Struthio camelus: one gene and its partner. The protein of the gene in region 2 purifies or fractionates together with the protein of the main gene of each other region. This does not show direct contact. Links are inferred from orthologs where the notes say so. Each region holds a gene or a part of one and is shown on either strand. Other genes may lie near its edges.

Region 1 (8,194 bases), on a different chromosome or scaffold from region 2:
GGCGCGCGGAGAGAAATGAGCCCTCCTGACAAAGCCACAGAATACTAATGGCTAATACTTCACCTCCTTCACAGCCTGCTTCAGAGCTCTTTGCAATTAGACCCGAGCAATAAGAGAAGACACCCAAAAGCTGCCATCAAAACTTATAGGCACTGGATCACCTTCTTCAGAAAAATCAAAATGGAAGGGTACACAAAGACAAACCTGGAAAGGATCCCAAGGAGGAAAAGCAAAAATTTGTCATGCTGCGAAATTAAAGTGTGAATTAAATGCTTCCTTCCATCCCTCCTTCCTTGTCTCTCTCTCTAATCCTGTCCTCTGAGGCCCTCCACTTTGGATGCAATAGTGAGGCAGCCGGTGCATTTGTGAGAAGCTCTGAGAGTCGACTGAGTGACTTTCTTTGAAAGGAAGCTCACTTGAAGTAGAAAAAAAAAAAGTTAGCTCCACCCTGGCGGTGTAATAGGTCCTTGTTCATAGCTCCCTTTGCTATGAACCTGCTGTGTGTTGGTGGCAGTGTGGTTCCTTTCCTCTACTGTATCTCACAGGCTTCAGAGGGACAGAGAAGTTCTCCAAGTCCCTCTGTGAACAGGATGGGCTGCAAAGGGTGTCAGATAGGAGAAGCCTCGTCTAGCCTGAAAACAGGATGGCTACCTCCTCACCAAAACCCCCAGTGTCCTAAAGCAGAAAGATCGGCAAGTTCTCCAGAAAGACATCTGGCACTGCAGGCTTGGAGTGTAATTTTGAAAAATTGGTGTGTATTTCTTGGGGGGGAGGGGGAAGAAAGAAAGAAAATTTTTGCCCTGATTACAAAAACGGCCTGGGTAGAAAGGGGATGCTGAGATGGAAGATGGAGGTTCAGGAGGAATGTGAATCCTTGAAATGACTTTACAAAATCCTAATGGACATCTAGAAGTGGGGCTCAGAAAGGCTAGCCAAAATGTCATGGGGGGAACTCTGGAGGAAATGGAGAGGTTTAGCATCACTCAGGGAGCTCCGGGAGAGTGAAGGCTGCTGGATGTTGAAGTTTCATGTCCAGCCTAGGCACCATCAAAAGAGACCATGGCAACTACCCTCACTGGGATCCAGGTTCAACACCGGTGTCAGGTGTTCAACAAAAGGCCGCTCACCAGGCCTGTGGCCTGTAAAAAAGAGGCTATATCTCAGGAGGCCATCTGCTACCACCAGCTGAACAGAGCCTTGCTGCACCACAACAAGTTGAGGCAGGAACCTCCTCAGAGCAGGTGCTCTTTGCTCATCCTTCGGCTGGGCTCCTAAAGCACATTCCCCAGAAACCAGAAAATGGCACATCAGTGGGGATGTGGAGTCCTTTCTTCAGAGAGCAAAAAAACCAAGCAAATAAATAAAAAAACAAAGCATAGGTCCAGGACCCCATGGAACCGGCTGTTCAAAAAAGTGAAGACCAGAATATGGCACTGCTGCTCATTGCAAACAGCTCTGTTTTTCTCTCCCCCTTCGCCTTTTTTTTTTTTTAATAGCAAGTTCAGTGAAACTTTATCTCTTCCTGCCCTAGTGACCTTACTAAATAATCTGCTATTAGCATGACTCAATTGAGTGGCTTTCAGCTGCTCAAGTCATTTTCTTTGCCACTGCCATTTCACTGGTGGAAATTAAAAAGCACATGAGGAGCTTTCTGCCCCTGCAAAGAGCTGCACTAGTCTGTGTGACTGGAGAAACACACAGCTGAGAAGTTGGTTGCATTGTAATCACTATTTAAAGAGTTCATTAAAAAGGAACTGATTACACCCGAGAGTTTAACTTCATTAGCATTTAACATGCACGCAACACAAATGAAGTCTCAAGGCTGAACGGCCAGGCTGGGTTTTCAAGTCTCCTCCTTCAAAAGGAAATGCCGCTCACAACACTACACAGCGGAGGAGGGATGGAGACAATTCATTTCTCTTTACCACTCAAATGAGCTTTCAAACTTATCACAGTGCTAGTTTGTAAAATATTACAAATTGGACCCGAAAATGATTTACCCAGCTAATGAGCTACAACATCCACCCGAAAACTAAACTTCAACCTGGCTGTCTTACTGCATACTGCTGTAACCAAGAAACACCTAAAATACATCAAAGAAACTAGCAGGGGAAAGTATTTCCCTCTTTTTTTTTCCAATTTATTTACTGTGTGTGTTCAATAACATTCTGGCTGTAGTAGGTTTTCACTGTTTTTCTCAGTCATTTTCCCCTCTTTGTATTGCATGAAGACACAAGGGAGAAAACAACACTTTTTAGAGGCAGGAAAATGTGATTATGAAACCACAAACACTTGCAAAAGACATCAGGTGTATGAACCTGAAAGTAATATAAACTGTTATTTAAGAAAAAAAAAAAAAACAACCAAAAAAACCTTCTGGCTGTATTTCAAGTTGATGATGGCTCTTCAGTTCAGTAACAGAATGAGAAACGATAGCTGAAGCAGGGTAAAATAGCAGCGTCCCGGGTAAAATGAGACATCGACAATCCCAAAGAGTTCCCCAAATTTTTTCTCTCTCTCTCCTTGTGCCTTCAGCCAAGCTGCTGGGTGGTGGAGAGGTGGTTTCTGGGCACCCAGGACGTTAGGCACCCCGAGGCTGCCTCCCTCTTCCCTGCCCAGGGTGTACGCACAGCACATCGCCTTCGTGCACCCAAGGGTCTCACCCCCGACACCTCCGCAGTGGGACAGCTGGTCCGGTCCGGCCCGGTCGCGCACCCACCGCACCGCTCCGCACCGCTCCGCTCCGCACCGCCGGCGGCACCTGCTGCCCGCTCGGCTCGGTGCAGCCCAGCGCGGCTCGGTGCAGCCCAGCGCGGCTCTGCTCAGCCCGGTTCAGCGCGGCTCACCTCGGCTCGGCTCGGTTCAGCTCAGCTCAGCGCAGCTCGCCTGGGCGCAACCCAGCTCAGCCCCCGTCAGCTCGGCTCGGCTCGGCTGAGTCCGGCTCGGCTCCTTTGCAGCGCTGCCGGTCGCAGCCGCCCCCGCCCCGCCGCCTGCCACCCCCGGGGCTGCCCTCGCCGCCTCTTCCTCCTCCTTCTCCTCCTTCTCCTCCTCCTCCTCTTCCTCCGCGCCACCTGGACCGGCGCCCCGCTGGGCCCCCTCCGCTCCCGCCCCCTACCCGGGGCATCCCAAGGGCCCGATCCCTGGGTGGGAAGTGCTGGCGGCCGGGTAAGTACCGTGGTGCAGCCTCGCAAGGAGCCCAGCGTCGGGGCTGGGTGTGCACAACCCCATTTTGCGGAGGAGAAAGCCGTGGTACAAAAGAAATGATCACTAATAATAATAATAATAATAATAATAATAATAATAATAATAATAAGGACAACCTGAGTTTGCTGGGGCTGCAGAGCCTTGTCCTTGTGGCTAGCTAGCGAGGTCTGCTGAGGGGTGTGGAGGGGAAGTCAAGTGGGCTGTGTCTTTCCTCATTAATCTGTCCCATCATGTCATGTGCTTGGCCATCGAGTCTTCAAAACATCTCTCTTCCAGGTGGGCCCTGCCTTGAACTAGGTTTTTAATCTGAAACAAGGCCAGGCTGAGCTGCTTGGTACACCCCTTTCAGGGCTTGAGGGTGTCAAAAGTGGGTTTTGCCCAGGACCTCCCCAAGGACACGCTCTCTGCTCCACCATTCCCATGGCCTCCTCCCATGCTGCAAGATTAGGTGTAATGCCGGGAGGACAGGCAAGTCTAGAGGGGAAAACTGGCCTGGGAACCTGGAAGATGAGTGATTAGAAGGAAAAGAAACTCCAGAAATGTAGGAGCTGAAGGGTTTTGGAGCAGTCCAACAGGACTCCTCCTGGCCATCAGGAAGGATGTGCTGCAGAAGCATGGCCACATGACCAACCCTGTAACAATAATGGGCTATGCTGTCGATAGCTGTCAAATGGGATACATATCCCGGAGACCTGCAGATGTCCGTCATGCTTCTGACAGCAGGAAAGACATACCTATAGAAGACGTGGGGCCACATTCAGGTACTTTCTGTGGATCCTAACACTCTTAGGCAACTGTCAAAGTATCTCAGATGCTTGTTCCCTAAAAAGTCAATGGAGAAAGGATCTGGGATGTAGATTGTGCCACTTTGTTGCTTTGCTGGGGATAATTCTTACCATTAAAGATGCAGGTCTGCATGCCGCCATGCAGACCTGTAAAAAAAAAGATACTTTTTTTTTTTGAAATCTTCAAAATTAATCATTTAGGAATTTTCGGAGCTCTAAGTGCTCACTTTGAGTAAGCTGGAATGTTTATTTGAATGCTGTTGTAGAAAGGCAAGATGTGATTGTTTTGCCCTTGCTGCTGATTCCTAAAACATCAACTACCCAATTATCAAAAGGGAAGGGAAGAGGAAGGGAAGGAAAGTGAAAAGGAAGGACTGCTGGGCTTTTGGAAATTTGGGGAAAATGTATTGCTTTCAAAGAGCAGTTCCCTTCTATTTGCTGGAACACTCTGAGCAACGTATAATATATATCCTTGTTATCAGCAGGAAAAAAAAGGCATTTCATGAGGAAGGTGATCTTTCATTTTAATTGCTGATATGCCATTAAATTATGTATCTATCCTTCCTGCCTGCATTAGAGTGCATTATATTGGGGGGGGGGTGTTGATACTGCAGGCATAAAAGGTTCTTCAACATCAACTGAAGGTGAGCAGCAGATAATTAAAATCCCATGTAACCCTGGAATTTGCCTGAATCTTTAAGGAAAATTGCTGACAAAACTGCCCCTTCTTAAGTTTGCAGCTCCATCAGTTGCTGGTGCTGTTACTACAATTTTCAGGAGTGTCCTGGTATTGCAGATACGCCCTTGCCTTCAGAAGCAGCTGGGAAGGCAGAGCCGGCAGATCAGCTTCCCGCTCCTACAGGCATCTGCAGAAAAGGAAGGGCAGGAGGCACTTCCACTTGCTCAAAAAGTGACCCTAAAGGGAACTTGAGGTGATGGAGACATCAGTGGGCTAGGAGTGGGAGAGGTAGCAGACCTCTGCAGACCCAAGCTGGGTGTTTTGAAACAAAAATCTCTGAACTTTCTTTTTAGTTGTGTGATACAGTAACGTGGTGGGAAGAAGACTGTAGTGTCAGCCTGCACTTAGACCGGATGCGTGCCAGCCTGGGGCATTGCAGCGGCACATTCCCAACTGTGATGCAGCCCCGTGGTCTTCTGCCTGTTCCTGGACCCCTTTGGTGTTGCACCCATAAATGCACCAGATCCCTAGTTGGGGACAGAGCAGCTAGTTACATGAGGATCACTCTGTTTATAGGAGATTTTGCAGGCCTGCAAATGGTTAGGCTCAGGGTTAAGTTCTGGCTATCACAGAACAGTGCTTTAGGCCACCTAGCTCTAAACTCAGGGCAGAAGAAGGCTTCAGCTTGCGACCTCTCCTGGCAAAGCAATTTTTCTGAGTAATGACAAGATCGCAAAGCTGGAAAGGTGCCTCGGTAGGTCACCTCATCCATCTCCCTGCCCCAAGAAAGAATCAACACAAACCCTTTCTAAGGGGGCGTTTGCTCAACTTGTCCCTCCAAGCAAGCAATGGAGACTCCACGCCTGCCCCAGGCAGCTCGTTCCAGAGCTGCTGGAAAGCGTTTCCTTTATGTGTAATCGAAACCTTCCTTGCTGTTATTTAAGCCTCCTTCTTCTCATCCTATCCACCAGGGAAATGAAGAACAGATTTTTCCCTTCTCTTTTCGCAGCAGCTTTTTGCGTTTTTAAAAATGACAGCGCCGTAGTCTGGGAGGCAGCTGCCATATTAATTACCCAGCTGACACAGAGCTTCCACTGAAACATGCATCAACTGCTGTGTATTATTATTGTCATTTAATTTGACTTGTACGACTAATCAGGCATTGCCTTCTACAACAGACGAGGCCACTCCTGTGGGTGTAGGTATTTGGAAACCAAAAGCCCTTAAAGCTGCATCTTTCTGGTGGAAAATATCACCACAAGCCATCGTGTTTTCTTTCCTGTATTTGAAAACCACCCACATTTTCAGTAAAAAAAAAAAAAAAAAAAAATTAAACTGATTGAGCATTTTGCCCAGGCAATGGGCCTTTTTGAATGGTTTCATTCTCAAAATATTTGCCACTGCTGTTTGGTTTTTAAGGATGATTACTTACAAGTTCTTTGTTAATTTATAGAAGATACCAAGGAAAAAATAACCAGGGGACACATTTAATAACAGCTGTGAAGGATGGTCAGAAATTCCTCTTTACTTTAAATTCATTCAAACTCAGTTAATGAGGTATTGAGTTCAAGCACTTGAAAAAAAAAAAAAGAAGGAAATATAGCAGGCTAGGCCATTTCCAGTCTTAAAATAACACTAGAATTGGGCTTTTTTTTTCTTTTTCTCCCTGAAGGTTTCCACTTCTGCTCAACTAAGTGTGTGCTGCATGTTAGGGCGACGTTTACGTTTCGATCTCTTCTAGCAGTCATAAGAAATAGGCTGGGAAAGAACCTGAGAGGTCACCGCATTCGTTCTCCTAGGAGGCAGGTCCGACGCGCCCCAGGCTGGTCCTGTCAGATGTCTGTCCACCCCGCTGTTATACGGATGCAGCTCGGGAGCTCCCTGGCCTCCTGAGAAGAGGACAGGAAATGCAGTGAGCAAATCAAACTTGCAAAACACTCTCTGACGATGCACGTTTCTCAGACGCTTCGCCAGAAAGGGTGCGTAACTATGGGAGAATCTACAGGGTACCGTTTGCTTTTACTGGCTTGAACCTGCACTAAACTAGAGATCTTTATTATTTCTTTCCAACTGGAAAGAGGAATATTATTACTGGAGTTGCTGCAGCGCTACCCAAGAGTTGTTCGTCTCCTGCCACCCGTATGACCACCCGAACATACGGCACAAATCATAGTCCCAAGCTCGTAAAGTTTGCTCAGCAGTGATTTTGTGAAGCTTTTTCTCAGTCTCCATTCGGTTATCTGGGGCTTGATCCTGCAGTATGTCAGTAGCCATGAGATGATGACGTTTGAAATAATCGATTTAAACAGATGCTTAACCATGCAATTCAGGGCACAGGCCCACAGAGGCAGAGCCAATTCCTGCCTTCATCTGCTCATTCCCACGTTCCACCTCCCTCCTGGGCTTGTCCTGTCTCCTCACCCGAGGTTGCATCTTCCTTGCTTTGCTGACTCAGCCTCTCATGTCATCGCGCTCTAAATCAGAGCAGCAAAACGGTCTGAATTTAAGAAAAACAAGTAAACCAAAACTGAAAAAAAAGAAGGGCTGCCCCTTGCCTGTAGCTGGGATCATTTTTGTAGGACATGGCCATGTGAAGAGCTGAGTGGGCTCAGCGGTGGTGGGGAGGAGGTGGGTTGTGGTGGATGGAATGGGTTGAATGAAACCTTTCCACCCAGCTCAGTAACTAAGAGATTCGTGATGTGGAACTGCATGGTCCAGCAAGCAGGAGAGCTGCAGGAGAGGTGTGGTGCTTTGAGGCTGCTAGAAAAAATACCAGGTCATTTGTGAACAGAAGCCGCTCTCTTCTCGCAGAGAATAGTGTCCCCATTGCTTGTACTAGAGCGATACTCGTTCACGTGTTTCAGCATAAAGATACCATCGCTGGTGAAGAGTCTCCCCAAAATGGAGATCATTGAACGCCAATACCCCGAACACGTCCTGATTTTTTGTCTTTCCCTGGGTGTTTGCTGTTCACCGCTCTTGGATACAAGCTACCAGGTTCTGGGGTTGTTGGGCTATTGGTGCACGTTTTCTGCCACACTTAGCTGCTTTATGTCTTTTTAATTAATTTAATGGGGAAATTTGAAGCAAAAAGAACAGTAATCGTCTTTGCAATCACATTGGGCTCTTTTTGTAAATGTATTTATGTATCCTCTGTATTTACTGTCTTCCTAGTTAAAAGAGCTTTAGGTTAAATTCAGTCTGGATTAGCAGAACTCACTGTCCTGGGGAGTAATGGAGGTCTAGAGCTGAGCAGGATTTCAAGCGTATTCACATTTATCTTTATAACCTGCACTAGCATTCAACACAGAAATTTGCACTCCTCTAGAGAGCACTCTAAGGACAAGATTACTAGGAGGCTGGTCAATCTTCTGCTGCCACTGTGCTAACGATACAGGGCTTTTTGTATTGAAGATGAGAGGTGCTTTTGTTTTAGGCCTGGAAGTCCGGATTTTGAGCCTTGCTGCTGACAGCTAGCTCCATGATGTCCTCCCATAGCTGATATCTATACCAAGATATATATAAT
Region 2 (7,750 bases):
TGTTAGTGATGAAGTGTGGAGCCTAGTCTGTCAGGATGTTGTCTGGGCGCTCTTCATCAAGAATGCAACTGTTCAAATGCTTTGTGGATCCTCTACATTCAGTTCCATACCAGCTGCAAACTCCAGGGCATGTAGGAGGTCTGGAGGGGACTCGGGACAACTTTGGTTCAGGCTGTACGTTGCCTAACTATAACTACCATAACATCTTTACTAAATACATATCAAACCTGGAAATTGGAAGGTTGGGGTCGGGTCTATTTAACAACATTAAAAGATGCTAAGTTGAGAACTTTAATCTCTAGAGAAAAGTTTAATCTGCTATGCCTTTTTCCGGTAGTGTGCATAGCTCTTGGTGAAGGGCTCAGGTGATCTCTGGAGATGCTGAGAGCACTGGAATTCATGTTTTGGGGGGGGGGGGGGGTGCCTTTTGGGGGGGAGTTGTTTTTTGTTTTTCTTCACAGACAGTATTACTTCACATGTATATGTGCTATCCTCATCACAGTAAAGACTGCATCAACAGTTTCATCTCTCTGTGACAGACCAATGTTGAGGTTGCTTCCCTTTGCATGGTTGTCCATACTAATAATTAGGATTAGATTGATATTTTAAAAACAAGTAATTGTCACCTATGGTAGACAGCTAAATACCTTTAAAAATCAGTTTTAAGTGTCCAAATGCAGACAGTCCTAAATCCAACTTGTTACTTGTCTTACGTAGAAGACCTATAAACTGTTCCAGCTTTATTTTTATTATTAAGTGGTAGAGAGTACATTCAGAGGTGCCCAGACTGGATGTAAATCTAATTGTGCTTCTTCGAATATCCCATTATAAACGTGTACGTCAGCATATCAAACCAAGCATAACACGGTCCTGCTCCAAAGAGCTGCCTGTCGCCCTCCGCTCTCTCTAGAGAGGAAGGTGCATGCTCACTGCTGAAGCAACTGTGTGTCAGAGACTGCACCCTCCTGAAGAAGGGTGCTGCTCTTAGCCATATCTTTCTGCATTAGCTTTGTATCTTAAATGATATTTATGAAACCGTTCGGTGTAGAAATCTGTGTCCCAGGATAATGATATGTGATGGATGAGTGAGACATTGAAACTAGGGTAGCAGGAGATAGGTATCTGCATGAGTGGCAGATAGGTATCTGACAAGACGGACTCTAGAGTGTTAGGTTCTCTCATGCGTATAGCTCTCAGTGAATTGCAATACTGCTTATTGCTAAATGCGTTAAACAATAGTATTATGGGGTTGGATGTTTTCTTTGGAGCTGGGCTTTTCGGGGTTGTTGGAGTGTGTGTGTGTGTGTGTGTTTGCAGCATGCAGAGTTTGGGCACAAGGCAGTAAAGAGAGCAGCGCTCCAGGCAGCTTAAGTTCAAGAGCCCCCTCTGTTGCACGTTTGCTGGAACCTCTCTACCAATGTAGATATAAAATGAAGCCATTTTCTGGTTTCATGGGGGAAAGTTCACTGTCTGCTAAGGTGAAAGAAGTATGTTGTGGTATGAATAAAGTATTTGCACAGATCACTGCTTTATAGTCACTGTACCTCTGCCTTATACAAAATCCTCTTAGGGATTATTCTCAGCGTTACTTGAAGTACGTGCAAAAAGCTACTCAGATTCTGCCGTTGTTCTGCTTGTGACTAGGTCTGAATGTTTTGATGCACAGAAGTAATTTGATGAAGTGTTCTAGCAGTAAGGAGGATAGACTTTTTTGAAAATGGATGCTACTGGCAGGGACGCCAGTTGCCTGCATTCTCTAGAGATGGACTTTTGGTAACAAAACCTCAATAACCATGTCAGAAGTCTGTGCGTCCCCCTTCTGGCAATCCTTTGCTGCCATAGCTGTGGAGGATTTCTGGCACTCTCTTTGGGCAGCAGCTTTCCTGAGCAATCAGGATACGGAATGTGCTTTTGTCCTGGAAGGTATGTGTTGAGCAGCTGATCTTGACTGTCTTCTTTCAGTGCAGTGACTGCCAAACCTCCGTCTCCTCTCGTAGGATGTATTGATGCATTTCTGTCCTGATAAGTAAGTTCAGTCTAATGCCAGAAGCCAAGTTTATTGTGGTCACTTCACTCTGCACCTTCTCTGAGCTCTGTTATTTGAATAACAGTACTGTTTCACCCTGTGCTGTCTTCTCCACCTAGGCTGGCCTCACTCTGATTAGTTACTAAGTCTTAGTTTTATAAATAAGTTTATAAATAAGCTTTATAAATATGTTGCTGAAAATGATTATCAGCAACAGCTCCTTATTCTCACATGGGTACTTGGTACTAGGTGAAGAGACTCTGTGCTTAACCAAGGACTTCCTGTCAGGCCACTAACTGACACAGGAAGAGCATTGTTTTTTTTTTTCCTGAAGAGTTATGAGGCTGTAACAGGCTTTCTCTATGCCTTTCCTGAGTGGCAATCATCTAGTTTGAACAGGAATTAGATGGGCAACTGGGAGACTGGTCATAGCTGTTCTGTAAAGACTTAATAGTCCAGGCATCAGTATCCTGATCTGACAGCTCTGCTTCTGAATGTGTGAGCAAAATTCTGCTGTAGAAGCCTGGGTTAAGAGGAGGGTTGTAACCAGATCCGTAACTATTAAGGACACAGTGTGTCGTTGTCTTCCCATCCCATGTACGCTGTGCTCTGATTCAGATCTACCTGTTTATCAGCAATTAGTAGCTTTTGTACCCAAGAAGAGCCTGAAAAATTGTTTAGAAAATGGGCTGCAGGCCATGTGCATAGTGGAGGCAAGATTCTTTGGAATCCTTAGTACAAAATGACCACACCTGAAAGAACAGTTGAAAAATTTGTCGAGTTTATGCCATTTAGCATAATGGCAAAGACTAGGGATTTGCTTGCATTGCAGTCTAAAAGTGGTATTGCAGCTCTTCACAAAACTAGTTCATAAGCATAAATAGTTTAGGTGTACTGATAGTGCCTCATGACGTGTTGGATTGCGAATCCCCTCTAGATCCTTAGCTAAGTATTCTGGCAGCCTAGCAGGACTCTGAATATTCTTTGCTTTCATCCAGTTTCATCCAGCTAAATACTCATAGCTCAGACCTGTCATCTTCAGCTGGCGTTACACCCTCAGAATGTAATCCAGAGATGGTTGATCAAGCAGTTTGTATTCTTCAGAATGCCTAAGCTCATCCAAACGTTTATAGTGAAGAAAGCTCTTTGTGTAACTGAGAAACAACGAACTGTTAATCCTTTTTCAAAGGAACAGCAATACAGAATAGGGCAGACTTTGGCATCGGATGCTCCCATACCGTTCCATCTTTGGTCTGCCTTCACTTTTACTTTCCCCCCTCCCTCTCAAAGAGGCTTAGCGCGCAGGAGCAGTTGTTCCTCCTGGGCAGCAGTTGCATTCCTTTTCCGTCAGACTGGCAGTTCCTTCCCCAACAGGCTCGCTCTTACTGTGCCCAGAACTCAGAGTAGTTAGCTCCTTCGAGGTAAGCACAGACCACTTAATCTTTTCTGGCTACAGTACAGGTGTCTCTTTGGAATTGCAGTTAGCTAAGAGAGGCCTCCAAGACTGGAAGCAATGGAGGAAGAAGTGCCGTGTGATGTGTTTGTTTAGCAGAAGCTGGCAACAGAACAGAGGTTATTGACAAGAGATAGGATAAACTTTTGTACAAACACATTGAGTGGATTCAGCTGTCTAGCTGTGCCATGCTTGTGGTCTGCTGTTGGCCTACATTCCCTCCCCCAATGGCACAGCTGTGCTTGGTGGCCCTGGCAGCCTGCAGTGGATGTGACTGCCTGTGCTGCATGTCGAGCTGCATGCTTCCCTCCCTGTGCCACCATGCATGAGTTTGCAGTGGCATTAAAGCACCTAACTTCACCCAACCCATAGCAAGTCGTCAGGAGAAAGCAATACCTAAAAATGATGTAATGCGCAGAATGGTACTTTGATTTGGGGTGGTGGGGGCTGAGATAAAATGTACATTTCAGTACCTTTAGCAGATTTTAATGAAGTTGTGGGAAGGAGACAGCTGCTCTGTCACTTTAGGTAATTAAATAGCCCATGAGCTCTACTCCCCCTTTCCCCGAGTCCTCGACTTCAGACAGACGAGCAGACGCCACCGACCTCCGGGGGAACGAGGGGGCTCGCGGCGCCCCCCGGCGGCTCGCGGCGCCCCGCGCGGCTGCAGCGCGCCCGGCCCGCGGCCCCTTTCGGGGCGGGCGGCCGCACCACGTGCCCCTGGCGCCGGAAGCGGACGCAGCCGCGGCCCAGGCCCTGCGGAGCCGGAGCCGGAGCGCCGCGGCCCCGCCATGAGCCGGCCGCCGGCCCTGCAGGCGCAGACCTGCGGCCCCTGGGAGATGAAGGAGCGCCTCGGCACCGGCGGCTTCGGCAACGTCATCCGCTGGCACAACAAGGTAGGCGGCGGCGGCGGCGGCGGGCCCCCTCGCCCGGCCCGGCCCGGCCCGGCCCGGCCCGGCCCGGCCGCGCTCAGCCGAGCCCGCGCTGTGTCCGCAGGAGACCGGCGAGCAGCTGGCCATCAAGCAGTGCCGGCAGGAGCTGAGCCCGCGCAACCGCGACCGCTGGGCGCTGGAGATACAGATCATGAAGAGGTGAGGGCGAGGCCGGCCGCTCCGCCGCCGAGCCGGGGCGCGGCCTGCGCGCGGCCTGCCGCTCCCGGCGGCGCTGAGGTGAACGGCGGGAGAGGCAGGCGGTACCCGCTGCCCGGCCCCGGAGCGAGCCTACCCCTCCACGGAGGCCAGCGCCTAGGAGCCGGGGGCGCGCCCAAGAAAACCTTGCGTTGTGTTTTCTCTCAGCTTCTGCGTCTCGAGGTTTAAAGGCTTCGTTCTCCAGAGGTTGTGCTGCTGTCTCTAGTGTTATAACAGTTCTGCAGCGTGGCTGCTCTTTGGCCTGACTTAATGTTTCTGTTGGGTTCTCTTTCAAGACGCTGGATTACTTGTGTGGGATGCAGTAGCCTGAAAGTAGGTAGGATCTTTTTTGAAGGATGCTAACAGGCTGCGTTAGACTCCTCCCTCGGAGCTACAGGAAAAGGCCTTGCCGAGATCCGTTGTGCCTGTTCACTGGAGGAATGCACTGACCACGCACTGAGGCTATGCGCGCTCGCTGTGCCCTGAATGCAAAGAGTTGAGATGAGTCTCTAGGTCTGTGAAGGATGAGTGAACTGCAGGCCTCGAGAATGCACTGGTTCGGTTTCTAAAAGGATTAACGTCCCTGTAGGGCTTAGAGTGACACGTGCACATGAAGCTGTGGAGCTCTTGTAGAATGATCAGCTTTCAGGTTTCTGCCGTGGCTGAGGTGATATGTATATGTGCCTCGTTTCCACTCCCTAGGCTGAACCATCCCAATGTAGTGGCTGCCCGTGATGTCCCTGAAGGGATGCAGAAGCTTGCACCAAATGACTTGCCACTGTTGGCCATGGAGTATTGCCAAGGTGGAGACCTCCGCAAGGTGAGGTCACTGGGATGGAGATGGTGACTAAGGGGCCTCAGCAGGATGAGACCTGGGGTTTGTCTTCAGAAAAGTTTAGTTCAGAGTATAAAAGCTCTGTTTTTGTCCCCTGCTGCTTCCAAATTCATGTCACGGTAGCTACAACGTTTGGTGGGTTGGTTCTCGGAAAAGTTCCGTTTCTAAAAACTTAAATATTTTCTGAAACTTTCTATGTTTGTCTGGCCACAAGTGATAGGTTGTGGAATTTGCATGTAGAGGATGAGGGTGTGTGAGAGGGATGTACGACAGGCTGTGAGCATGGCCAAGAGCATCATAGGGCAGATCTGTGGGCGTTATCCTTCCCGGAACTGATAAACCTCTATCTGTCATAGGAAAAAATAATTTGTGGCCATTCTGATCTTGGTGTTTTTTTAACCTTTGCTATAACTTGCCCGTAGATAAAGCCCAGAGTGTACAGCTGAGATTAGAGCTGATAATGCAAGGCACAGGGGAAATGGCTATGAAGGGTGGAGATGGTAGAAGGAAGAGGATGGAGGTGATACTGATTTATTCTAGCCACCCTTTCTCCTCTCCAGGATAGACCAAGGTCTTAAGCTCTAACTATTGCTACCAGAGGTCCCAGTCCCATTTCCTTGCTGTCACTGGAGCTTCTTACATTCTTGAGAGCTTATGGGATGTAGACCCTCGCTTAGGACACAAGAGGGAAAGATTACCTATGTTCTGTGCTGCTCTCTTGCAGTACCTGAATCAGCTGGAAAATTGCTGTGGCTTGCGGGAAGAAGCTATTCTCATCTTGTTGTCTGATATTGGTAAGTGTTATTAGTATCTTCAGTTGTCCCAACTGTGGAAGCCCTTTACTGCTGAATCCACTTGAAGGCTATGTGACAGTGACCTTAATGGCTCCATCTTAGGCCCTTGAGTGGTATACTTGCTTCCGGTCTTGTTCTGCCTGTCCTCTCCAAGAAAGCTAACCTCTGATTTTTCCGTTCTTGAAATTCCAGTGTTGAGATGGATTTTCTTTCCCAGCAAAAATGCTACTCAGGATTTCCTGGAAGGTTCTGGATAGCTGAACACTTGCCAAGTGACTCCAGTTTATATTGCACATCATCTCTCCACCCTCAGTTTATTAGCTCATCAACAGGACTGCAGAGTGTGTGTGATCAGTTGTTTTCCATTAGCATTTGGGCCACCAATATGTGGAATTTGAGACAGTTCTGATGTTTGCAGTGTGATGCAAAGATTAGAGAAAGCTGTCTAGAGACTTTCAGGCTGGTGATTGTTGTTCTTTGTTGTTTTAGCAAGCTATGTTGTTGTCGGGGGCTATTGTTATGTGGGTCACAGCTGAGGTGAAGCAGGTGGACGGGTGCTAAGGCTTTAAAGAGAAGAGATTCAAAAAGTGGTTTTGGGGCATGTTGATCCTTAGAAAGCGAGCTTGTGGCAAGAGGAGGAACACGTGTTCATTAGTACTCCTACTGCTAGGCAGAATCTCCTGTCCTTTATGTTCCCAGAGCATTTGTACTCTGCTGTCTGCATTCTTTTACCCCCTTCCTGACCAGGAAAAGATACTTAGAACTGACCGGAGACAGTGGTAGGTTACGTTTAGAGCGCAGTTTGTGTTTATGTGCTTGTGTGTATATGGCAAGAGGGACGGTTCTGAATCTCCAGTTGTGCGATCCGAACCACAACCAAGCAGAACCATTTTCAACTATTGATATAACTTGTTCTTCGGATCACTTACAATCCCTGCTTAGCTGGTCTTCCTAGGGTTACTGTCCTTCAGGAGAAGGCTATATTGTTGATAACTCCTGAAAGTCCAGCCAGATCATTCCACTCTGAATAGCTGCATCTGGGAACGCAACACTGTCAGAAGGGACATGAAGTCCCAAAGAGCAGAGAGTGAGTCCTTCTGGCTCAGGCTCGAATCAGCCCTGAAAAGCACAAACTGTAGAAACGCTACCAGGTTTTGTCTTCCTAAAACCCTCCTTTTTACCCACAAAATGGGAGATATGTTAAGGTATTATCTTGACCAAGTGTGAGAAATACAGGGCTTTTATTCTGCTTTACTATTCTTAAGATGAAGTTTTTATCTTTCCAATGTAGATGGAATTTATCAGCCTGTGAGTTGTAGGGTATCAGTGGTTGTGAGCAGAGACTGTATGTTACCTAGAAATTTCCTAGGAAGAATTTTGCAGGTGAAATGGGGCAGAACAACAGCTTGTGGACAGGACAGAACAAAGTCTTTGGTAGAGCAGCCTTTGGATCTGTTGAAGAAAGAGATGTGCTGAGAAAAGCTGAGTATAGCCACTTTGGCCACAATACATACC

Evidence for each region. The genes of interacting proteins can lie anywhere in the genome.
Region 1: the proteins of IKBKB (region 2) and PRKCQ purify together in Homo sapiens (affinity purification with western blotting; 4 studies listed by BioGRID). This does not show direct contact. The link is inferred for Struthio camelus from reciprocal best matches to the Homo sapiens genes IKBKB and PRKCQ.

What each region holds. Positions count from the first base shown.
Region 1 is NC_090942.1:4,823,447-4,831,640, forward strand, and holds the start of PRKCQ (protein kinase C theta type), read right to left. Parts: upstream 3,442-8,194; 5' UTR 3,321-3,441; intron 3,166-3,320; exon of another isoform or gene 3,061-3,165; intron 3,004-3,060; exon of another isoform or gene 2,847-3,003; intron 402-2,846; exon of another isoform or gene 205-401; intron 1-204. UniProt on the Homo sapiens protein: Calcium-independent, phospholipid- and diacylglycerol (DAG)-dependent serine/threonine-protein kinase that mediates non-redundant functions in T-cell receptor (TCR) signaling, including T-cells activation, proliferation, differentiation and survival, by mediating activation of multiple transcription factors such as NF-kappa-B, JUN, NFATC1 and NFATC2.
Region 2 is NC_090968.1:7,907,585-7,915,334, forward strand, and holds the start of IKBKB (inhibitor of nuclear factor kappa-B kinase subunit beta), read left to right. Parts: upstream 1-4,185; 5' UTR 4,186-4,270; coding exon 4,271-4,375; intron 4,376-4,475; coding exon 4,476-4,570; intron 4,571-5,308; coding exon 5,309-5,426; intron 5,427-6,165; coding exon 6,166-6,235; intron 6,236-7,750.